Linked DNA regions of Drosophila melanogaster. The protein of the gene in region 2 interacts with the protein of the main gene of each other region in a pairwise test. Each region holds a gene or a part of one and is shown on either strand. Other genes may lie near its edges.

Region 1 (8,462 bases), on a different chromosome or scaffold from region 2:
GGCGCTGCCGGAGTTCAACCACGGGACATATCTCTCCGAGAATGCTCTTTCGCCAGGTGAGTTACGTGCAGCGTCACCAAAAGAGAGCCGCTAACAATTGGTGTGATCTATTGTAGGCTTGGTCTATCCGGAGATCCGCATCGATGCGAATCGTCTGGCCATCCAGTTGCTGGAGGAGCTGCAGCGGGAGCGAAAGGATCATCTGTCCACCACGCCGCACGCCTGGATTGCGGCCAAGATGAACGAGTTCGGCCTGGAGACGCACACGCACAACTACACGTTGCGCTACCCATTTGGCGGCGGTAAAGAGTATCACGGCAAGAATATCTACGGCATATTGAGGGCCCCAAGAATTGCCTCCACGGAGGGCATCGTTTTTGCGGCTCCATATCGCGCTGCCAGTTCCGTGCACACGGACATTTCCGCCAGCGTGCCGCTTCTGCTGGCCTTCGCCGATTTTGCCCGGCGCAAGAACTACTGGGCGAAGGATCTGATCTTCCTGATCACCGAACAGGAGCAGCTGGGCATGCAGGCCTGGCTGGAGGCTTATCACGATGGCGACCGGGAACTGGACTTGAGCAAGGCGTACCTGCGTCCTGGCAATTTGCCCGCTCGCGCTGGTTCGCTGCAAGCGGCTCTGAATATTGAAGTTCAGGATCTGGAGATTGACCATGTGGATGTGCGAATAGAGGGCTTGAACGGCAAGCTGCCCAATCTGGATATGTTCAATCTGGTGCAGAGAATTATGGCCCGCGAGGGCATCGCCTCTGGCTATAAACAAGCGCCACGCAAGAAGCGTCGTCACAGCCAGTCGCACTTCGAGCAGAACTTCCGCCAGATGCTGACCATGCTGGCCAGCCAGTCGTCGGGCGTACCCACTGGCAATCATGGGCTGTTCCACCGTTATCGGATCGATGCTTTGACCATAGCTGCCAATCGAAGGGCCACCCATGCCACACTGAAGGGCAGCCCAGGATCGGCAGCGGTGCCTTTGCTGAAGGCCATCGAGGGAATAGCCAGGAGTCTGAACAACCTTCTGGAGCGCTTCCATCAAAGCTTTTTCTTCTATGTGATCGTAAGCAACGATCGCTACATCTCCATTGGGGATTATATGCCCGCTTTGGTGGCTCTGGTAGCTTGTGCCTTCCTTAAGGCCTATCTAACGTGGTCCACGCTCCCGGCGACCAACGCTGAGCTGGAAAAGGCCGCTGGCTGGCTTAGGGAGCACGAACAGGAGGCGGAACTGGAGGAGAACCTAGAGCCGGATAAGTTCGAGCTGCCGTATGGTTCGGTATTGATTTACCTTACTGCCACCCTGTTGATTGGTTTCCTGTGCAACGTGCTGCCCCTGCAGCAATATTTCCTAGAGATTCCTATGGGCGCCGCACCACTGACCACCTCAGTACTGAGTTTTCTTTCTCTGATCGGTTTCGTTCTGCCCTTTGTGGTGGTTTTGCCGCCCGGAGGATTGGAGCTGCTGCATGTGGCCTTTCTGCTAATCTATGGCTGCGCTTTAATAGTCATCGGGCTCCTCAACTTTGCCCTGGGCTTATTTGCGGCCGTGCTGACTGTACCGCTGGTCATCGCGCTGGAGACCAAGGAGGAGAACTCGCGCAGCACGCTGAGGAACACGATCCGCTTGGCCACGCTGGTCATGAATCCCATGATGGTCGTTTATGTGATCGTGCTGGCCATGACATTCTACCAGTTCCCGGAGCTGCCGGTGCAGAAGATCATGCTGAGGGCGGCCACCGCGGCCATGGATGCCTCGGCTTATGGACTTATCGATTCCGTGGTAAGTTAAGATTTCAGTTGCCACTACTAACATACATAGATAATAAACTAAAATACTTTCCTATTGCAGATTTATGGCAACTGGCTGTACTTTGTCATCTGCACGATTTTCCTGCCGCTGTGGATCATCTGCTGGACCTTGTCGCTGTCCAAGCGACGCGACTACGCAGATTACCTGGACTTCGATGAGTCGCCATCAACGTCGCCGCAGCCGCAGTCAAAGGTGAAAACGAATTGAGGAGACGAACAGCACGGATTGCCATTCACTGGCTACATATATCAACTGGAAATGATCCTAAGATGAAGTGTGATAAACCCAACAAAACTGTGTGTGATGGCGGTAAGAGATTGCACATGCAGAGAAAATTCCATTTAAATGTTATGCATTTGATTAAATGTCTAAATAAAAGAAGCCTATTTATTAGTTGGAATAACTAAGTGTAAATGTAATCCAAAAAATATTAAATATACCACGGCATTTTCGATGTTGATTCCCAGTTAACTTATCATTTTAAATTACTTAAGTGGTTAACTTTATCAGTAGCTTCTTGTGATTTATGGATTTTCCATTATATTTGCAACTTTGTTTGCACGTAAAGCAGTAATGCATATATTTCCCATCCGTTGGTTATTATTTCTTTTGTCAATCCTCCGTCTTCGCTGGCGTTATTGGCCAGTGGAGGACAGGAGTTTCTCCGTGGAGTAGTGCTCAGTGGAGCACGTGCCTCTTTGAATAAGTGGAAAACTTTTCGACTATGACACGCAACTTAATTTAAACTTTGCACCGCTGCCAGCGCCATCGTCGTCGCTGCTGGCAATTAGTTATGAGCCAGGATTTGGCTCAATCAGAGGCATGGATGCATGGTGTCCTCGAAGCTGGGAGCCCTGCACTTGCCGCACCGTGTTTACCGGCGCCATTCAATCTGCAACTTAACAAGAAAACTTTCCTCACACAACCATTCAAAGGCAGACACAAAGTTGCGGCGGCACAGTGGTACTTTCACTCGAAATGTAGAAATGAGAAATTTTCGAATATCTTTTTATTAAATGGATAGATAGATTGTAAGATGAGTTCGGTCAAATCACTGAGCTGTATCACTGTATAAATCAGTTAACAAATATATATACTTTTTCAAGTAGTAGTTAATTAATCCTCGCAGTTCTAGTCTAATCGCAGCTTTTCAATATTTCTATGGGCCATCGTTAAAACAGCAGAGCACACAAGTGATTTTAGAGTTGTGTATCTTTATTCAAATACTATTCAAGGCTGGCCTGCGCTAGATGGCCATCTCCTGCACCTGATCCTCTTGGCTTAAAGAACCCATCGCCCTTCGCAACCATTGGCAAATCGAATTGGACGAGATAGGTAGCATCTCGTCCTGAGAGTCAGCCATATCGGTTTGGGTGCCCTTGCCGGTGCCCTTGCCTGGATTCCGATCCAGATACAGACCCTCTTTGGACTCCAGCTCCGTCTGTCGCTCCGCGTGGCGTTCCAAAGAGCGTTGACATCGGCTCCAGAGATCCTGGACATCCTGGCTCTCGCAGTCCGACTGAATGGCCTCTATCAGATATCTCATGGATCGCCCACTGTACTCCATCTCCAGGCTGCGGATCATTTCCGCATCGCTCTGCAACTGACACTGGATCGCCACCTGGCGTTCGAGTGCCTTGGCATCGAATAGCATTTGATCCAACAGTGCATCCGTCTCGGCGATCTCGATCCGAAGCAGATCGGCCATGTCCATGGCCGAACTAAGTTCCCCAGGTTTTGGGCAACGCGGCGAGGGTGGCGGTGGTGGTGGCGTCACCGGGATACGGGCCGTCTTACACTGGACGACACGTGGGGTCCTCAGATGCGTATCGGTCTTGCGCATTTTGAAAGCCTTGGGCGCAGGTCGTGGTGCTAGGCTACTGGGCCTACGCTTCGGGAAAGACCTTGCCGAGCTGGTCGCTGTGGTGGTGGGGTGTGCGGTATCACTCCTAGTCGTGAGCAACTCTGGCACTGCCTTCTCCAGAGATGCCTCCAGAGATGTATAGCCATTCACGCTGTTCAAATGGAGGCGACGGGCCTGGTGCACCAAATTGACGATAGCGCGATCCAAAGCCAAACTCCGGGCACTCACGGACTCCGCCGCGTCATTCAGATGTTCTGTGCTCATTCCAAAGCAGGTTTAGTGGAAAATTTTGATAATATTAATATATATATATGGCTATACTGTGAAGATGTAGTGTATATAAGATTTGGTACTACCGACCGAACCGTAGAGCAAACGTGTTGTGTGTGTCCCTGTCAAATTAGGTGAAATGAAGTGTTGCCAGTTGGAGACGGGCCTACTGGTTTCGGAAAACTCCAACTCCAAGATTACAAGTTTACAAAGGTTTTTTTCTCTGAGTGTATGAATGTGTCGCAAAGTATGCAGTTCGAAGAATATTTATATATGGTTAGAAATCTTTATACACAGCCCACTGTTGGCCAAAACGTTCGCATTATCCTTCGACTGAAGGATAAAGGGATGCGGAGAGTTCGTGATTGCGGGGGGGCGGGGGTGTTTTAAAATTGGCAAGTTGATGTCACATAATTGCCCCTCGAGCGCTCATCTTAATTATTGTGCTCGCTGACTTCCTGTTGCCCGACTTAATTCCCCGTTAAAGCCAACAACACACTCCCTGCGGTCGGGTTCGCCCCCCCACCCCCCACCATCCCACTCCAACGACCACTCTTTTGCCGGTTCCCTCTGCCGCCCATGGACTTACTGAGTGCGTCGCTGCTGCGTGTGGAAATAATTAAAATTGTTCGAAGAACGAGAGGTGTTGCACTTTGCATGTCGGCGAAAGGGGGATTGATGTGCAACATATATGTACATATGTATGAGTATGTGCATTATCGTGTCGGTTGGACAGAACAGCCATGCATTCATCGCGGATGTAAGGATAATGGAACCTACTTGAACGGCCCTTTAAAAAATTTATTGCTTTAACTATTAATCGTTTCATAAATTGAACCTTGAATGAGATCTGTAAATAAAATCCATTGCCAAACTGAGTTTATCCATTTGTAGAGCGACTTCAATTTTAGTTTCGCTGTTTTTTGCGGATTTTTTTTCAACGCTTCCGTGCTGCTTCTGTTTTAATGAAAAGTGAAAAGTGGGAAAACAAGTCCGGAATAGAGGAATACCAATCGAGAGCTTTCAATTTGCTCGACCATTGTTCTGCCTTTGTTTGCTTTTGGATTCGGATTCGGTTTCTTGTTTTTTTTTTTTTTTTTACCCGGGCTTTACTTTCGAAAAGAATTGAAACTTTGACAGTTATTTGTGTGCTTTGTCCGCCCCCTCGAAACAATGCACAAGCGGCGTCAATCCGCCCGACCTATATAGTCCTCCCCCCCCCCCCCCTAAACCACCACAACGAGGAGTCACGTGGCACTCCATTTTTTTGGAATGCCAACGATGAGTACGAAAAACTGGGCAGGTGAAATGGAAAACAAACGCATAGAAAGACAGGTACGAGAAAAAAGCATCCAAAAGACTATAGACATACACTGAGATCTTAGACGGAAAATGGAAAAAAATTATTTTGCAAAAATTAAACAACTTTAGATGAGCATTGTTATCATAACTTGACTAAAAGTGATCAGAAAGCAAAAAGAATAACTGTTTTGAGCAGCTAATAACGAAGGCTAACCATCCCTATCACTTTTTGACCGATTTAGGAAAATTAATTTTTGGACCAATTTTCGCATTTTCGGTAAGGGGTAACATCATCAAAATTTACAAAAAATGGCTAAAAAATGGAATTCCCATTTTTGGACACAGTTCGATTGGGAATTTAAATACGAACTCAACGTGATATGACATTCCGTATTCAGACAATTATTTTTAAAGTTGTGGCCAAAAAACTGACTATTTTATGACGGAAAATCGAAAAAAATGATTTTGGCAAAAATTAAACAACTTTAGATGAGCGTTTTCATCATAACTTGACTAAAAATGATCATAAAACCAAAGAAATAACTGTTTTGAGCAGCTAATAACGAAGGCTAACCATCTGTATCACTTTTGGACCAATTTAGAAAAAATAATTTTTGAGTCATTTTTCGCATTTTCGGAAGGGGTAACATCATCAAAATTTACAAAAAATGGCTAAAAAATAGAATTCCCATTTTTGGACACAGTTCGATTGGGAATTTAAATACAAACTTAACGAGGTATAACAATCCATATTTGAATGATTCTGTCAATTGTTACGAGAATAATTGTGTTATTTTCTAGGCGTAAAATTGGAAAATGATTTTTGGTACAAAATGGGATTATTTGCTTTCATTGGCATTGTAAAACAAAATTCGTAGAGCAACTATTTTGATTGAAACAAATGATCTCTAGATTTTTGCGAGTGCAAACCGAAAGAAGTGAACAAATAACGAAATAATATTGCATGCGAATAAAAATGCCGTCAAAACTGCCAATTTCTCTCAATTTGTAAAGTTTGTCGAATTCGGTATTTGTTTTTCTACTTTCCAACCCACTGATATGTTTTGTGTGTGCAGATTTCCGTGGCGCTCCAAAGTTTTCAACTACCAGTAGTTGGGGGATTGGGGATTTTTTATTCCAGTATTCCAGGCTGTCTTGAAAATTTAATTTCGCCCCGCTTCTACTTAGACTTTTACAATACTTTGATGCTGCTCTTAATCAAAGTTTGCCCAGCGACAATAAAACTTGCGATTTTATTTACAAACAATCAGAGCCTACGATGGGTCCTTCGAAAAGGGGGAAAACAAAGCCTTGTCCCACAAAGAGAGCGAGAAAATTGGGGAAAGTGGAGAAAGCTGAGCAAGTCGGCGGCCGTTGGATGAATGACAAACGAAATGAGACTCGAGTAGGCAAACTAGAAATGAATGGAGTGCATGAGGGAATTTGCCAAATTGAGCGAAAAGGGCCAGATACTTCAAATGGGATTTACAGTGCATACTGCGTAAGTATGCCATCATTCAGTTAAATGTTCATAGTCCTGCAGAATTTGCGTTTCGTTTGCATAGGCTACTTTTATACTATGTCGTGTTATCTACAGAACTAGCAAACCAAAAAGTTGATCGACTGGGTTGCTTCAAAAGGATTATGACTGTACTTCTATGTGTGTGTTTGTGCGGCCTGCATTGGGTGGCATGAAGATAGTAGATAGAGCAACAGCTACCCGCATGACGTTTTTTATTTGCGGGCAGCACACACACACACACACACACACCGCCATTAGCGAAGTGAAAGAGAGGGTGAGACAGGAAGCGAAAGAGAGGGATGTACAGCACGGATGAGTGTCTTTTCTTAGTCCCTAAATTCAGCCGGCATTCAATTCCTTTGCCTTTGTCCCCATGTCGAGCAGTTGTTTAGCACATTAAGCCACTAAAACAACTGGCTGGCGCAGAACGGTAGACGGTTGGGCGGGGCCCAGAAAGAGAGAGAGGGCTAGTGTTGGCGGTGAGGTGCCATAACATATCCCTCTTCTCTGCTCCAAGTTGTCAGCTGTTTTACGGCCAAGTTATGACGTGCCTCCGTCACTGGCTTAAGTACGTACAAAAAGAAAACTGAAACATGATAGAAGTGAAATGAAAAACAAGCAACAAAAAACTAAATGTTGCAAAAAGCCGACCCAAATACCCTTACCAAAAGAATGCTAATGCAAGTGCAGGGAAGTCGCGCGAATTCTTAAGCAATCAAATATTGTAATGACTCCTAAAAAAGGAAGTAATTCAATGGATTTTGGCAGGTATTCCGGATATATACATATATACATTTTACTTAGCTATAGTCAAATACTTTTTGTGAGCGTATGAAAGCTAAAGACAAGAAAATAATAAAAAACAAAAAAAATGAAAAAAAAAGACGAACATGTTGGCCTGGCCAAAAGGTAGGAAAAGCCGGGAAAGGGAAAACTTTTATGCGCTGCTGTCGCTGGCGAACACAACTTTTGCCTTTTATGTCCTTGTCGTCTGCTATCAGTGTATGTATGTGTATATATGTGTGTGTGTGTGTTGGTGTATATATCCGTATACGGACTGGTGCATGTGTGGAAGTTCTTATGGCGTTTTGTGTGACATTTATTGTCATTTAACTGTGACAAAGTTAGCGGATAAGCATACACGGCGCTATGAGGCATTTGCACAATGCCATCTTTTCGCCTGGATTGATAGGCGTATATCTCAGTAGGCGTGGCTGGCGGCAAACGAAAACTTCAAAGCACAACACACACCCTGCTAAATTATTGAGAACGTTTTGAGAAATCAAGAAATAAACCCAATATCGAAATCTCATCGAAGTGCAGGTAAAATGTTAGTTAGATTCTTCGACAACTCATCGACAACTATTTCCACTGCCTGTTCAGAATGGTAATCGGTCAGGATAGTGAGGAAAAGGTGCTGCCAGGGGAAAATGCAGCCACTGGTGGAATGGAAATGAACGGTTTTAAGGGAAACCGCTTGGAAACGGCCAAGATATATGCACGCGGAAAGGGTCGACTGCGCATGTTTTTTCGGCTCGGAAATCAGCCGCGTTGCGAATTCATCAACGGAGTGCCTCCCAGTGATTTGAATAAAATCCAGAAACATTGGTAACCATTTGGTATTTGTGTAATAATTAATTTTATCCATAGTAACAAAAGGCTGCAGCTATATGCTATGC
Region 2 (9,378 bases):
AGGTCGTAGTTGAAACTCGAGCTCCTGGATCAACTTAGGTTTTGCATTTGTCTTTTGCATGGCCATCTCCTTGGAATAAATGGCCAAGCAGTCAGAGCTGAAGCAGTACAAGCTCTTTGCCCGTCGTCGCCATTTGGCCATCATCAGAGAAGTGGCATAGCTGGTGGAGATGCTGTTGGAATCCAACCGCTGGTGCACCAGTGCCTTACTGTTGCCATATCTATTCCTGTCCAGCAGACCAGTGCAATAGGTGCTTTTCTTGGCCAACTCCTGAGCCAGGCCGTAGCTTCCATAGAACTTTGAGGTGTACACAGTGCGTCCTCCATGGTAACCCTCCATTAGTTTCAGGACAATCTTGTTTCGGTGCTCCACCAACTGCCGGGAATTGCGTACCCATGCCGGTGCGTCTTCCTTCCGCACAATCTCCGGTAGAATCTTCACCACCAAACCGCTCTGCTCAGTTAGCATATGCAGCAGTAGTGCGTTGGTGCGGAATTTGTTTGGAAGTTCATCCTGGTATCTTAATGCACCCTTCCACAGAGTGATAGGTTCATTGAGCACCAGTTGCTGGCCACAAATGTATATCTCTTCCATACGCTCGTTGATAAAGTCTAGCAGTAGAGAGTTCTTCACTTTGGCTCTGCCCGCTTGTAGCTGCGGTGCATCAAAGTTAAGGCAGTGCAGCAGCTGCTGATACCGTTCCAGAGGAATCTTCCCAGAGAATCCGACGAGACCGTAAAACATGTTAGTGCTCCAGTAATCCGATAGGTGCTCCAGCTTCAGGTCACACATAAGCAGGGAAAGCGCCATAAAGATTTCCATTTCTTCGGCAGTTGTGGGATTGGACTTGAGCTCTCCTCCCTTTAGGTTGCAGCTTTGGGCCAGGGAACTGAAGAACTTGGAGCGATTTCCCAGCACTTGGTTGAAGTAGTGCTGTGGTCCCTGGAAGCGTTGTCCGAATTTCAGGCCACTCTGCTGGATGGGAAATTTGAAGAGCAGTCGGGAACCCGTCTGCTGGCTGGACCAATCTGGATCGTAGTCATCCATATCGTCTGGGTTTAAAAAGGATAATTTTATAAGTGGGGTCTTGAAATGACGGGAGGAGCACCCTTCTTACCCTGACAGAAGACATCTTCAGCTTGGTAATCGAGCTCTGAGTAGCCATCCTCGTCGGAATCACTCTCTTGCTGTTCCAATTCCAAGCGAATGGTGTTGCTGGCCGCCTGCTGCTCCGCCACCAGCTGCAATTGGAGTTCAGTGAGATCCGGCTTGATATCGGCCGTACTTAAATCGTAGTCTGCTAGCGCCGGATAGCCGTCCAAGGGTTCCGACTTGATGTCCACACTGCGTCGCTTCACCGGCGACCGGTGATCGTCCTGACGCGGCTTAAGTTGCTGCTTGCGCTTTCTTCCGGAGCTGGACATTTCGTTTGGCTGCGTTTTCTCTTCCAAATAATGTAAATACAGAGGAAATTTTAGCCGCAGCAACGCGTGTTTTTCTTCGACCTCACTGTCACTCGTCCTCTCTCACTCGAGTCACATGTGCTGTATGTTGTGCTCTTTCGCACCTTCTCAATTCGTTTATTGCGCGGGCTGTAAGCGGCGTTGCCACCTGAACGAAATGTTACCTGCAAAAATCGTTGGCGAATTCAAATCGGTCGTGTAATTTTGAACTCTAATTAATAATTATTATAATTTTATACATTTACCTTTTTACAGGAGGACAGTGGTACGGCGTCGACATCAACAAGGAAGACATTTCGGACAACTATGAGCAGTGCGTCTGGGAGCCGTCCATCATTAAGATCAATGCACTGACGGCGGCCGCCGAGGCAGCCTGCATGATCCTTTCCGTCGATGAGACAATAAAGAGTCCCAAGGCCGGAGAACCCCCGATGGCCGGCGGTGGCATGGGAATGGGCCGCGGAATGGGCAGGCCCATGTAAATAGAATCATTCAGAAATCCAGAGAACACTACACCCTAATCATCAAAACTCACTTGCATTTCTCTCCTAATTTAACACGTACACGTATTACTCGGTCATACCTTCGCATTTCGCACGCTTCGAAGCAAGAACAACAGCAACAATAATCCACTGACCTATCTGTATATGTTTAATAATAAAACACAAAATTGAAATTTGTATTTTCATAACATCAGAACGTTTTTAGTTTAAATGCGGGGCGAGGTGGCAACTCTGCGGGGAGTGCTGTTAAGCAGCTGCCCGTGGTGCTGTTAAACGCAAGCAACATATTGTCAATCCAATCCAACCCTTAAATAAACAATAAATAATGGGCAATCATAAAGTTCTTCGATCGGCAGGAAGCAATTTGCGCTATTCGATGTACGAGTTCATTGACGCGGTACACAAACGTTCTATTATATGGGAACGAAGCCACCCAAACTTCCATAACCGCGAACTCAGAGATGAGGCCTGGCAGCAAATTGGCCACGAGCTTTGCTCGAATTTTGACGACTCCAGCGAGCCGGAGAAGCAGGAAATAGGTAGGTGGTGGCTACCTTTTTGAGTCTATATCATACATAACTTCCAATTCCAGTTAAAACACTGCTCAAACGTTGGAAAAACACGAGGGACAGCTACCTACGGGTCAACCGACTACGTCAAAGTGGCGAGGAGGTGGCCAGAGCTTCCTACATCTACGAAAAGGAACTGAGTTTCCTGCTGAACGTGAAAGCAGAGTCGGAGGACGATGTAGAATCCTTGAAGGAGCAACCCAAGCCCCAGGCCAAACGGAAGCGAGTGAGCACTGCCGCACAGAGATCTGCAAAGACTCCACGAAAGAGAAACTCCGACCAAGAATCGAATATTGAGCCTGCCATCCGCAATCCAGCCATACCAAGCAACATAAATACGGTTCTGGGAGATCTGGGCTGCGCCAAGGAGGACACCGCCACTCCGGAAATCGCATATATTCCACAGTTACCATCAGATCCACCCTGCAGTACAAATACCGCCTACTTGTCCGCCGATCCTGATCAGGCCTTCTTCGACACCATTAAGCCTCACATGCAGCAGATGTGCGCCGATCGCAAGCTTGACTTTCAGATCGAGGTCCTGAAAATCCTACGAAACTTCAAGCCGAATTGAATATTCACTACAGAAGTCAAATCATTTACAAATGCATTTACAAGAAGGGCAAAATTCGTTTAACAGCAAGTTAACATAAGCAATAAGAATACATTTAATCGTTATCGTAAATCGTCTAATCTTTAGGGCGCGAAATTTAAATAATGAACTGTAATTTGTAATTTAATATACAAACAATAATATTCACAAACCAGGGGTTAAACTTTAATGCAACCAATGATTCAATTATTTTTTTTAGTTCTTAATAATGCGTCAAATAGTTTTCTCATAGTAACTTCTGTGTTTTGCGCAATGTATATATTATACGCTTACTTTTGTAATTTTTGATAATAATACAATAGTTGTAGAGTTATTTAAGACAATGAAAAAAACATTAAAAACAACATTAAATAATGTATAAAAAATATGCATTTTATTTTGTTTTAAACCATAAATTATCTAACGACGGCAATATATTTTTATACGTGGGTTTCAATATCAATTTCATACAACATGGATTTGTATGGAATTTCATATGAATATATATGCTCATATGTATATTAACTATGTATGCAAGCAAATTGTCCACATGTGTAATTGATATTTTTACATAAATCCCATGTTCTGTTATTCATCCCCCTAGCCACTACTTTCTTGGGCCGGATGCTGTCTCAATACATATTTATCGCCTGCAGCGAAATTTTAGTATAAACATAAACTGTCAAAACGATACATAAGCCATCGGATGGCCCATGTTCCAAAGCCGTTTGACCAGTTTCGGCTGATGTTGATACAAAAAAGAGTTGAAACCTGTATTCATACAGCTTGTACCTCTTATGCCAATCGAGTTTTCATTATGTATACCGATTTCTTCATGGTTTTTGTTCAACACAAAGGCACATTTATGGATTGTACGAGCGTATTTATAAGTCGACACTCCAGACGACACCCCTAAAAAGAAATCGCTGAAAACCGTTAAGGAACCCATAGGGGTAACACAGAGATTTGGATGCGGTGTCGGCTTTCAAGCGTTCCACACTGCTGGGAATTCCCTGAGTACCATCTATGGGGGGTACGACGATATCGTTACCCCGAATACCCGCCCCCACAATTCACCCGACAAATGGTACTCGTAACGTCCTGATGATGCCGTTCTCCTCGGGATCGCCCCATTCCATTTCCCACTTAACTGCATATGGTTTTTGTTAGTGGTTGTTTCGGGTTTCGGAAATTTCTGCCCGCGTTCGGGACCCTACCCTCCACTTCATCTATTAGCAACGGCTCTGGCAGCTGTTCTACCCTATTAAAAGGTCCCTTAGTTCCTCGATTCCGACTACCTGCATCTGCTGAATGGAAATGCACTGAAAACTTTATCGTATTTTCTTTTTTAAGTATTTTATTACTGTTATTTTGATTAGATTAAATGAATTGCTATGCAAGAAATGTAGATTCTACTGATAGGAAATCTACATCAATATCAATAAATCAATACTTCACGAAAATGATTGCAGGTGCAGTTTTTTAGGGAAAAATAAAACAAATAAAAATCAAGCAGAATTTTTGTTTAGGGTAAAATACTTATTTATCATGATTGCTTACTCTTCTAGGTCTAACTTAAATTTTTTGCAGTGTACAAAGGCATTCCCAGCGTGTGTAACGTACTTTCCAGCCTTAACGAAACCGGGCACCGAAGGGAATTTAGGGTATTCTACCCCTGGAATACCTCCCCTCGCATACCTGTAGCAATTCTGGGCATTGCAGTGAAATCGAATAATAGACAGGAAGTCCCTTCGATGTCTTTTATTCCTTTCAAGAGCCGAGCCGCTCTAGTAGATCATGGTGCAGCGATTGTGTCGACCCATGATGCTGGTCTTTGTTCTGTTTTATCCTAAAACTAAGTTCCTAATGTGGTGGTCCTAGGCATCTGAGCCCGACTCAGGTGGAGTTATCCAGAACAACCACCTGTGTGTTTTGGTATCTTCGCCAGGCACTCTCCGCCCTTTCCAAGTATTCACCGATCTCCTGTCGCTTGTTCAGAAGGTCGTACTTCTCTAGAGCCAACTTCAGGAGTACGTACTCCAGGCTTCGAATGCCTCCGAGATTGTTTGGATCCCTTAGGTTATCGACTAGGATTACGAATTTCTTGAGCAGCTCCACCAGCTGCCCAAAGTTGCTCAAATCGTCCAGATTAGCATCCACCTCGTTGACGTATCGCATACTCTGCTTAATCCTTCTGGCCAAATCGGTGCTCCTGCCAACCAGGGGTGAGAGCTCCGTATTCAGCTGTTGCACCGATCTGCGCGTATCGGTCACCTTCAGCAATGCGTCCTGATTATACTGATCCTGATCTGTCCACTGGGTCATCGGAGCCTTAGTAGTCGCTCCTTCGTTGTCCACCATAGATATCCGATCGTTCTCCACAATAATGGTCTTGTCGATGGTGTCGGATGCATTCGGCGGCTGCTGTACGTGAAAGTCCAAGGTGAAGTGAAACCGCATGCTACCCTATAAGGATTAGAAATTTTGTTAAGAAACATCCAGCAGGCTTGCACAATCGGAAACATGCCTGGACCAAAGTAAATGCTGCTAGGAAAACCAAAATAGTCTTAGAGGACCACATCTTGTCGGTGAACTGGGAAATGTTTGACTGATTCCAAGCTGAAATCTCACGATCAGACCACTTCATGCAATCCAAGCTCGACATCGACGCTTATCAAACCACGGGGTTATCACACATCGTTCCCACTTGACCGATAACAGATTCATTCACATTCAATGAGTTTTCTAGCTATGGGAATACATATTGCCAGACAAAGCGCAAGTCACGTGTTCGCCGAGATGAAAAGTCAATACAGTGAGGTGAGCGATTGCCAACCTAAAACCATTTCAAGGCGCTTGGAATAGCAAGTATTTCAATTTGCTGAAAGCTTCGTATCCAATATGACCTCTATGGAAACTAGTAAGTTCTTTGAACCTGCCGAGGGTATACAGAATTCAGAATTATCTTAAACTGACTAAACGAATGCCATATCATATGTGGTCTATTAATATTAATTAGTGGTAGTTGTATTGTAATAAAACAATGAGTATGCAGATTGTATGCATTATTGAGGGTGATCCAAAAAGCAGTTAATATTAATTGCCTGATATGGATATAGTTCCCATTTGGTATAAAAATTTAAACAATTTAAGAAAAAATGTGTGCTATATAAATATAATCTTAATACATGTGACATAAAAGATGGACTGGTTAATAGCCCGCATGGGTATTTGGAGTCCGTGAATCATCCACCTTTTTTGGGAACCCATTTCACAGAGTCATTTCCGTTACGAACTCAACCGAATTTCCGACTCTCTAAGGGTTAACATCTGCTTGACTACACTACGCTTATCATCCGTCTGAGGTAACAACAACCGCTCTTATCGCTATATATGATGTTTACGCGTGCAATAATAATTATAATGTACACAGAGCCACTATAGCGATAAGGTGCGAATGCTATCAGGGTCCGCAAGTACCCCACATATATGTACATATGTATATGTACACAGTCGAATGTTTGTTTGTGCGAAAGTATGCCTTAATTTAGAAAATGGTATCAAAGCAGGGCAGTTCATGGAAGCGAAGCCATGGCGATAGGGGCAGGCCAAAGAAAAGCATAAAATGTGGGAATACGAATGGGAATCAATAGTAGAAATTGCGCAGCAGAATAAAATTATTCCACTGCCTGAAAATAACAAAAACCGAAAGGAAAAAAAATAAAATAACCGTTGACACACACTCACATGAGATTGCCCATAATATATTCACAATTTATACACATAAAAAACTGTTGATATTTTTATGAGCACGAAAGAACCAAGAGTTCAAGTGGAGTTTCCTAGCTGGTAATTTTCTTAAAAAGTTTTGATAAGAAAAAAAACATAGTGTTCCAGCGAAACATCAATAACAGCAATAAATGAAACTCGAAAAGATCAAATCTTTATAGCCCATAAATACATTAAAATACACTACCAGAATTCACTTGAAGTGAATATTTTTCTCTTGTGTGTTTAACTTATTTTTATATTTATATTTTTTTAATATTTTTCTTCGCCATTTGCGTACTTTGCACGCATACGTACATACATACATATGGTTGTACAAAAATACAGGGGAGTGAGGAATGGGGACTGTGACCAGGGGGACGTAGGAGATGGGTGGCCAAGGGGTCGTCAGAGACCAACGCACAAAACTTGTAAATACGAACGCCTCCCATCTCGCTCCACCAGTATCTCCATCCCGCTCGGCACACAGCGCGTGTGGCGGCACAACGTGAACATTCGGATGTGTGTGTATCTTACAGATACCAATTGCGTAGATACAGATACATCTACGGGCCCAGTCCGAGACCAGTGCACGCAACTTTTTGTTTAGCCACATCTCGCTTTGGATACCCCGCAGTTAGGGTATATTGGACGAAAGCGTTATCTTATATATTTAGAACGCTTTGCTAATAAGCATAACAATTTATTTTACATTCAGAAATTTATAGGTTATAAACAATGTACATCGAAGTGATGTCTAAATGCCAATCAAGGGGTATGAACGATTCCATTTAGTCACGTTTCCCCATGATTTATACATATATCTGTTTTTTCTTTAGCTCTGGGCTTTTGTTTTTATGTTTGCAATCGCGAATTCAAACGGTCGTGTGGGGGGAGGGGCGAAGTATATACCCCTTCACCGACAACCTCGCTGAAATCCACTATCGCCGTCGCCATTTATAGATTGCAATTAGCTTAAGCAAAGCGCCATTAAAATAAAAGAGAAGCAACCAAAAGCAAAATAAAAACAAAATTGTTTACGCTTTTGATTTGCCTTAAGTTTGTGTGCAGACATACAGGCATCCAGGGCAACAAATATGGGTAGCACACATATGTAGATACATATCTAGTGGAGTTTGAAAACAACAATGCACGAGCACCTACCGGATACCCATAAATATTAAAGTTTCATCTAAATATTTTACATTTTTATTCCAGTATACATATATATACTGAGTATATATACTCATATACTACTATATATATACTCTGCGTGCTTTTCGTCACTACGTAAACACCGTCCTCAGTTATACATACATATGTTCATGTATATGTATTTCTCGGGGGTGGCCTGAAAATCGTTGAGAGCATTACACAAAAATTAAAGACTACGGGTCTCAGCATTAAATGAATTCGTCGAGGGAAAAACGCTTTCGATGCTCAAATATGGACAACCCGTACAGTTATTGTCTTGTATTCATTCGACTCGATCGGATATGGTACATATAAAGTACAAACATAATGGTAAGTACATATATACATGCATATGTATGAACGTATTTACTTCAGGGGTAGCGAAGCGGTAAACAACGACACCGAATTCAAAACCGAAGCCCATTGCCCACATAGTGTGTTGCCTGTGAATCCAGTTTTCTTTTGCGACATCGTTTATAAAGAAATCCCAAAGCGGCGAGGTAAAAAACAGAAACATCAAATGCAGAGTAACAATTGGGGTGATGATTCATTTCATCCGAAACTCAAATCGTTTTCGAGACTTATCAAAGCACGTTAAAATTGATCTAAATGGGTATACAAATTTCACACATATATTTTTGTTTAGAAAACTGCATTTAAAACGTGTAAAGTTGCAGCATATTTGTTTCTCTGTGTGGAGCGCGGTAGGTGCGAGATAAGGTGATTCGAAGCACGTTCACCACTCGCACGGCGTCTGTTTTTTCTTCGAGCAACCTCTAGAGAAATCCACCTAGATAATACTAGTTTGTACCGCCAGTGAGTCACATTCGCGTTTTGCCAACTTACCTGTGAACTAAACTGATCCAACAGCTCTCTCTCTCCACCGTCCTCCTTCTGGGATCGCCACTTTTCGGGGGTTCCATCGAAGTCGCGGACTTTTACCTCCTAAATCGAAATATCCAATAAGCCATCCATACCCATATTCACTTCAACTTTGTTCAATTTTGCAATCAGCCAAGCTCCATTTTTTAAACATCTGTTTCAACAAAGAACTCATAGGAAATCATTATCATATGTAAATGGGTTTTTAAACATCTAACCAAATGGAAATTCCCTTCCTATCGCTGTTGACACTCGAAACTCGAGAAGTTGCCTTGACTCAATTTTTTCGAATCGAAAAAGTTAACTCATAAATATTTTGGCTTTGTAAGCAATTTTCAGTTTGAAAAAGTTAAAAAGGAGCGTATTTAATGGATTATAAGCTTATTTCTGATCCAAGAACTAAAAAC
Region 3 (7,780 bases), on a different chromosome or scaffold from region 2:
CTGAAATTTTCCTGACCCGCTGCCTTGGCCTCTCTGGCCGGCGGAGATGATAAATTTACTTTCTAAATGCTGCAAATGCCCAGCTGCCCCAGCTAGACATTCAGCTAGAGCTGCAGATTGAGATTCAGATGGAGATCGAGATGGAGATGGAGATATACACACACGGACTGTCAGTCAGTCGGTCTATCTACTATAGTCACACATATGTATGCACATATCTCCAATCTTGAGATCGCATCTTGCATTTGGCCAACACGCGTCGCTTGCCCAACCGCCTGAGTTACGATATGGTGCGGCACGGCTACGGGCCATTGCTGCCGATCCATGATGCAAACGCATTTCAACCCGTCCGCCGCAATGTGGCACATGGCTGGGACGCATTTCCAAGTGGGTGGAGCTGGCGTTAGTTTCAGAAAGACCTATTACACAAGTGATTTGAAAAAGTTCAACAATTTACTATACTTATCTCAAAGGTGCTCCATAGTTTACACTCAATTCTAGCAATATTTATCCAATATTTTCAATATTCATAATCATTTCCAAGTTTGCCAGTGCATATAAATTGGAAAAATATTTTTAAATGGCAAGTCAACATAATTTTGAGTGCTAGTTTAGTGCCAGCTGTACTTCGTGACTAGTTGTCTTACTATTGTTTCCATCACGTTTAAATCACGGCGGAAGATCATCTAAGATCACATTATGGTTAATATAATGTTAATTGAGGCCTCGAGCCAATCAAAAAGGTCATCGAAGTCCAACGGTCCTCGGAATTCAGGCACTTCTAAGCGAGCAAGTGGCCTACACACATTCATATATACATATATTTCCTTGAAGTTTGTCCAACTTTTCGTTTCAATTGAAGTAGCGACGTGGGTTTTTTTTTTGTTTTTTGTCGTCTTGCTCCGTAATAGTTGACTACTATTGGCAACTATGCGCACCACCCATTTCAGTGCGTGATTGGTATCCAGCTGGAAAAAAGCAAAAATATTTCTGCAAGCGGCTAATTTTGGGCTGACGTGAGCGGTTTCGTTTTTGGGTCAATGCATTAATCAGTAATCAGTCTCCTTGTTAATTACACACGGCTATCTCACACCCAGTTTCTTTTTTTGTGTGCCTGCTTTGCAGACAATGATGGAATAGTCGGCAACCAAACTCGGCATCGTCGCTCGACCTCCGGCGCAGCCAGTTGCATGCAAGATGCACGCTTCTACCGCAACCCCAACAGGCCGGTCCACAAGATCTGGACGAACAGCGAGTGCGCCAAGTATTTCCTCTGCCTCGACGGTGAGGTGTTCGAATTCAAGTGCTCCGAGGGATTGCTCTTCGATGTGGTGCGTCAGATCTGCGACTTCAAGGCGAATGTGGACAATTGCGATGTCAGCGCGGAGACGCCGGCTCCAAAACCACTACTGGAGATGGCCGACTGTGCGGATGAATACCAGTTGGGCTGCGCCGATGGTACCTGCCTGCCGCAGGAGTACTTCTGCGATGGTTCGGTAGACTGTCCCGACGGCTCCGACGAAGGCTGGTGCGATGTGGAGCACGATCCGAATGCGGCTGGTGCCTGTGATCCGCGAAAGTGCCATTTGCCGCAGTGCTTCTGCTCGAAGGATGGCACCCAGATACCCGGCAGTCTTCCGGCACAGAGTGTTCCGCAGATGATACTGTTGACCTTCGACGATGCCATCAATCACGATAACTGGGAGCTGTTCTCCAAGGTTTTGTTCACACAGCACAGGCGAAACCCCAACGGGTGTCCCATTAAGGGCACATTCTACGTTTCACATCCGTTTACCAACTATCAGTATGTGCAGAAGCTTTGGAACGATGGTCACGAGATCGCAGTGCACTCAGTAACGTAAGTTGTTGATCAGCCTGTAAATTATTTAAAATTGAAATTTCACTTTTATTGATTAAAGGCATCGTGGCCCAGAGATGTGGTGGTCCAAGAATGCCACAATTGAGGATTGGTTCGATGAGATGGTTGGCCAGGCGAATATAATCAATAAGTTCGCAGCGGTACGAATGGAGGAGATTCGTGGCATGAGAGTACCCTTTCTGCGCGTCGGCTGGAATCGACAGTTTCTCATGATGAAGGAGTTTGGCTTCGTGTACGATTCATCCATGGTTGCGCCGCATTCGAATCCTCCTCTGTGGCCCTACACCTTGGACTACAAGATGCCGCACAGCTGCACGGGCGTAAATCAGAATTGCCCGTCTAGGAGTTATCCGGGCATTTGGGAGCTGGTTATGAACCAACTGGAAGTGGGCGAGTATATGTGCGGCATGGTGGACACGTGTCCGCCGCATTTGAGCGGCGAGGATGTGTACAGAATGCTCACGCACAACTTCAAGAGGCACTACCTCAGCAATAGGGCACCATTTGGCCTGTATTTCCATTCGACTTGGTTCAAGAAAGTCGACTATCTGAATGCATTTCTGGTGAATATTCGAATTGTTACCCATAATACTAGATCTTCATTCCTTCCTGATCATTTAGAAATTCCTCGACGATCTGCAAAAGCTGCCGGATGTGTTCTTCGTGACTAACCAGCAGGCGATTCAGTGGATGCGCCATCCCACGCCCAGCAACCAGCTGCACCAATTCGAGTCCTGGCACTGCCAACCGAAGGACTTGGATCCCCACGAGCAGGTCTGCAACACGCCGAATGTGTGCAAGGTGCGTAGTCGGGTGCTGCAAGAGGATCGATTCTTCTACACTTGCATGGAGTGTCCTGCCCAGTATCCCTGGATTCGCAACGAGTTCGGCTTGGACTAAGGTGATAGCCCGCTTGACACTATAGGGCTCTGCGCAAGGCGCTTTGATATATCCATAATGTTTGGAGCGTTCCATAAGTAATTGGATAAGATTGATACAATTTTAGGTTTTAATTGTTTAGAAAAATTAATATTTATAAATTGGATTACGCATATTTAGATGATTCAGCTTTCAAAATCTGACCGTAAGCAAACCCGTAGATAACTTCGTAACATACCTGAAGAGGATAAAGTGCATTAATTTAAAATCGGAACACTCTGAATTTTATGGAGAAGCTTAAACAATTTCGCGGGCTCATAAACGTGGTACTTTGCGGCCTGATTAGATTTTAAGAACTAATTTATACGTATGTATGTCTCCGCTAAATATATTTAAACCGATTTCCAAAAGAGCTTTGTACTTAGTCTACATTCTGGAACGCATCCCAGCCACAAAACCTTGGACTATTGCGTTATAAACGGATTGGCGATGCTCTCGACTCCGTCTTGCGGACAAATGAGGACGAGGGCTGTGCCGCGACAGACGACCAGTCCCAGGCTGCGGGTCTGCTCCTCGGTCAGTTTGTAGGGCTCATCCGAGTCGCGCAGATACTCCACCGTGTTGTCCAGCACCAGATTGAGCAGCGCATCGTAGCCCTTGAGGATTCCGGATGCCTCGCGGCCGCCCGCGAATTTCACGCGGATCTGTTTCTCCAAGTACTTGGAGAGGTCCAGAATGGACTCCTTGCGGCGCTTCTCCTTACCGTCATTGTTGCCACCCACCTGACAAGTCACGATTTTGATGATTAAGCACCACAATGTAGTTATTCTATTTAATTTACCTTTTTATCTGCCATTATTCTGTTTTTGGTAAATGCCGGCTGGTAAAGAGTGACCAAAGCATATTTTTTTAGAAATACACCAAATAAGGCGCTACTAGCCAGCAGATGGCGCTGGTGAAGTAATCTTATGGGCCGCGCTTTTTGAGGTACATAATCGATAATAATGGAATAAACATATGTAAGAATTAATGTTATTTGAAAAATATGACAACAAAGTTCTCTTATTTCTACTGTCATCATTGTGAAATTATTTTCTTACCTTTTGCTATTGAGGCGAACATATCAATTTATTTGTATAATAATTATTATATTGGTTTAAGATATCGATAAGATTCATTTATTTGTATCGATATGCTGGTCACTCTGACTGGCTCTCCATTTTGTTTTCCACGACAGAGCAATTTTTAGTACAACAGATTGTTATCTTCTACCAATTACCGGATCGATTTTGTACATTTAAGTGTTTTAAAGCCACCTTAGGATCATGGGACGCAAGAAGAAGAAGGCCTCCAAACCCTGGTGCTGGTATCCTTTTCGCAAAACAAAGATATAAATATTTTTTCACTGCATGTGCCGCTCGCTGTATCTGCACATACACACACATTTATATAATGGTATTGGGTTGGGGGTAGATACACACACACATGTATATGCATACTGGCTACAACGCCGCATCCCCGTGAATTTTCCTTAACTCTTAACGCAAAAAACTAGGTACTGCAACCGTGAGTTCGATGACGAAAAGATCCTTGTGCAGCACCAGAAGGCCAAGCACTTCAAATGCCACATCTGCCACAAGAAGTTGTACACCGGACCCGGACTATCCATACACTGCATGCAGGTGCACAAGGAAACGGTGGACAAGGTCCCCAACTCGCTGCCCAATCGCTCAAATATTGAAGTCGAAATCTTTGGCATGGACGGCATTCCCGCCGAGGATCTCAGGGATCACGAACGTCAGAAGAATGGTGGCAAGTCTGATTCGGACGATGATGAACCGGTGGCCAAAAAGAAAGTAGAATGTAAGTGATCAGCAAACTGTATTGTATACAAAATCGCTATACAACATTCATTGCAGATGCCATGAGTGTACCGCCGCCTATGATGATGCCCCCGAACATGATGCCACCGCACATGCTGGGGCAGTACGGCATGGGCATGATGCAGCACATGCCGCCACTGCCTCCGTATCCAGTGCCCATGATGCCGCACATGATGCCTCCGCGTCCTTTGTTTCCAGCCGCCATGGCCACAACATCGGCGGCAGCTGCTGCGGCGGCGGCCCATCATCACCACGCCGCCGCCATGGCTCAACAAAAGCCAACATTTCCAGCGTACAGGTTAGCATCGTTAGGGGAAGACCATATAAGAATCCTTCCAATTTTTTTTTCTAAAGCTAGCAGTTAGACGTAGAGCCCTGTTAATAATCTTTTTTTTTTAAACGATTCGTATGTAAATTCAGTTTTGGGGGTATTTTAGGTGAAATACTTTCTACTCCAAATAATTGTTCACATTGGCACATTTTTAATGGTTTTCCCCTATTAAACATAGTTGTGAAGCAAGTCAAATGACTTATTATTAGGCTTAATCCTAAGAATTTGTTTTTAACTAACGTAAATCAATTATTTCTTCTTTTTGCTAAAGTAATGCTACCATAAGTGCTCCGCCTACCACCAATCATGCTGGTGGCGCATCCAGCGCACCACCAAGTGGTCCGCCAGATGCTCAGCAACACCAGCAGCGACCTCCAGCTCCACCGGCGGCAAGCGGAACTTCCGCTGCTGCTGTGACCACAAAGATTATGCATCCACAGGAGGACCTGAGTCTGGAAGAATTGCGCGCGCGCCAACCGAAAATACAAGCACGGTTGGCGGCCGCTTTGGCTTCACTGGCGAATCCACAAAGTCGCAAGAGTCCCAGCAACAATGGTGGCCCCTCTACGTCGATTCCCACCACTCCGCCGCCCCCGTCGCTGGCCGGGATCTCGCCCACGGGTAGCAATAGCAGCAGTGGCATGGCTAACTCGATTGTCGTCTCCGCAGCCATGTCGAAGGCCCAGGAAGTGAGTTCTTATCATAGTTATAGAAACCATAGTCAATATAAATAAACAGACCGTGACGGAAACGACTTCCACTGATTAACAGGAAATGACAAGCACAACGGACTGAAACGAGGACGTGTAAAAAAGACAATTTCCTCCAAAAAAAGAAAAATAATGAAAGAATAAATGTAATTGCACATAAAAAAACCTGACCCAATTTCGACTGCATTTTAAGAGAATGCATTCAGCATTCTAACAGAATTCCATTTTTCCAAACTGGACACTTTTATACATTTACTCTGCGCAGATCGCAAATTGCGACAGCGGAAGTTACGTTTAGACGACCACAGCGTACGAGAGCAAACAGATTACGAGAATCACACAATACGAAACAACATTAAAAAGAAAAGAAAACTTTTTTTAGCATATAGTATGATATATGTCTGTACAATTTTTAATTAAAAAAAATTAATGGCAACAAAACAAATGAAACGGCGGTTTTCAATTTAATTAATTTGATTTAAAACATTTTACCTCAACACATAGAGAACTCGATAGAAGGGAAAAGCAAGGTTTCGCATTGTCTTGGCCCTAAAAGTAATCTCCATCAATGTGATATGCCAACACATGTGCTAGTTTTGTATCTTAAAGGTAAAGCGGAAGCAGCTGAAATGCAATTCACATGCCCACTGATAAATAGTGAAATTCTTTATAGCGGGTGGGCTGATTTAATTGGATCATAGGGGCAGGTTTGAAGCCAGCTTGCTTAGTATGTTTTAGAAATCTATGTAGTCGGTTCCATACACGCTTAGGAAGCGTTTTTTACATCAAGCGCAGGCTAAAAACTCATTTTTAAATAGGGAATCTTAAATTAGATGATTACTTTAATTCTTGATATGATCTAGTAATTTTTGTTCGTCAATTTTTGTTACTTCAGCAGCTTACAATCTGCAATTCTATTTTTTCATTTGGGGTTCAGCCCCGTTTTTTTGAAACCCTTAAGCAAATTTTTTTGTTACCACGATAGGTACATAGAGACCTGACTCAGTCAGGATACATTTTTTTTGGGTTGACCCCGAAACTACACCCTCCCAGTGGCAAGTGAGATAAATTCAATCGATTCCAAACATTTTCTTACAGAACGCCGCTCTAGTTGCCGTGGCACAGGCGCAGGCACACGCACACGCACATGCTGCCCAGGTGCAGGCCCAAGCGCAAGCCCAGGCCGTGGTCCAAGCTCAGGTGCAAGCCGCGCATGTGGCACACGCTGTGGCAGCACAGCAGCAGGCAGTACAGCAGCAACAGGCGGCTCAGCAGCAACAGCAAGCCGCTGTGCAACAGCAGGCGGCGGTGCAGCAGCAGCAACAACAACAACAGGCGGCGGTGCAGCAGCAGCAGGCGGCGCAGCAGCAGGTCAAACAACTGGAGGAACTGAATCGGGCTGTGATGCTCCAGCGCTTTCAGGCTGCCCGACAGCCTGGGAATCCCGGTGCGGCAGCAGCGGCTGCGGCGGCCGCAGCCGTCGGCATGGTAAGTCTCTAATCATGCGGTGCTGCGTATGCCACGCGAGCAATCAAACCAAAGAATGAACTTGCCTTAACAATACCGAAATTCCGAAATTGCTGAGAATCTCAATCTGTAAAAGACCACAATACAAATACCGATCTTGTGTCCTAGAATGGTATCATAAAGCCAACGACAGCATTTTCGAGTGGGTTAACCCAATAAATAAAGCTTCGCCCTCATCATCATGGTTGGTCACCTATTAGCTAATGTTTACGCGATTAGTTGGGGGTTCTAAATTTACAATGATCCTATAGCGAGATAATCTATGGTTAACCGAAACGCACACTCATAAGACTAATCTGAAAATTTATGTTAAAACCGTCAACGGATACATTAAAAAAATGTGTGTATTTGTAAAAAAATATAACTTTTTTTTTTTAATTTTATAAAGGATTTAGTTTGTTAAAAAATTAAAATATTTAGGAGCTGATAGGAAAAAGAAATTTGCACTTCTTTAAAACAAATTAACGTTTTCATCAGTGTAAAAACAATCACTTGGCTAACTACAACCGCTTACCAACACTACCGCTTAAAGTTCCCTTTTCTTTTCGAACCCATTACTTTTGCCCAGCTT

What was found. The genes of interacting proteins can lie anywhere in the genome.
Region 1: the proteins of CG9837 (region 2) and CG15764 interact in a two-hybrid assay, tested with the Drosophila melanogaster proteins (one large-scale study listed by BioGRID).
Region 3: the proteins of CG9837 (region 2) and LSm7 interact in a two-hybrid assay, tested with the Drosophila melanogaster proteins (one large-scale study listed by BioGRID).

The regions. Positions count from the first base shown.
Region 1 is NC_004354.4:5,864,673-5,873,134, reverse strand, and holds CG15764 (uncharacterized protein), read right to left. Parts: upstream 4,041-8,462; 5' UTR 3,954-4,040; coding exon 3,072-3,953; 3' UTR 2,869-3,071; downstream 1-2,868. Other genes in the region: GAA1 (glycosylphosphatidylinositol anchor attachment 1), read left to right, coding at 1-56, 117-1,795, 1,865-2,032; CG43137 (uncharacterized protein), read left to right, coding at 8,168-8,395.
Region 2 is NT_033777.3:8,804,075-8,813,452, forward strand, and holds CG9837 (uncharacterized protein), read right to left. Parts: upstream 5,738-9,378; 5' UTR 5,709-5,737; coding exon 5,655-5,708; intron 5,594-5,654; coding exon 5,024-5,593; 3' UTR 3,605-5,023; downstream 1-3,604. Other genes in the region: CCT7 (chaperonin containing TCP1 subunit 7), read left to right, coding at 1,719-1,945; CG9839 (uncharacterized protein), read right to left, coding at 1-1,052, 1,118-1,424; hng2 (hinge2), read left to right, coding at 2,292-2,505, 2,559-3,109.
Region 3 is NT_033779.5:16,739,447-16,747,226, forward strand, and holds LSm7 (uncharacterized protein), read right to left. Parts: upstream 3,655-7,780; 5' UTR 3,615-3,654; coding exon 3,600-3,614; intron 3,541-3,599; coding exon 3,223-3,540; 3' UTR 3,180-3,222; exon of another isoform or gene 2,997-3,179; 3' UTR 2,869-2,996; downstream 1-2,868. Other genes in the region: ChLD3 (chitin and LDLR binding deacetylase 3), read left to right, coding at 1,126-1,858, 1,920-2,442, 2,501-2,779; BuGZ (Bub3 interacting GLEBS and zinc finger domain protein), read left to right, coding at 4,084-4,118, 4,314-4,621, 4,678-4,939, 5,244-5,661, 6,781-7,170.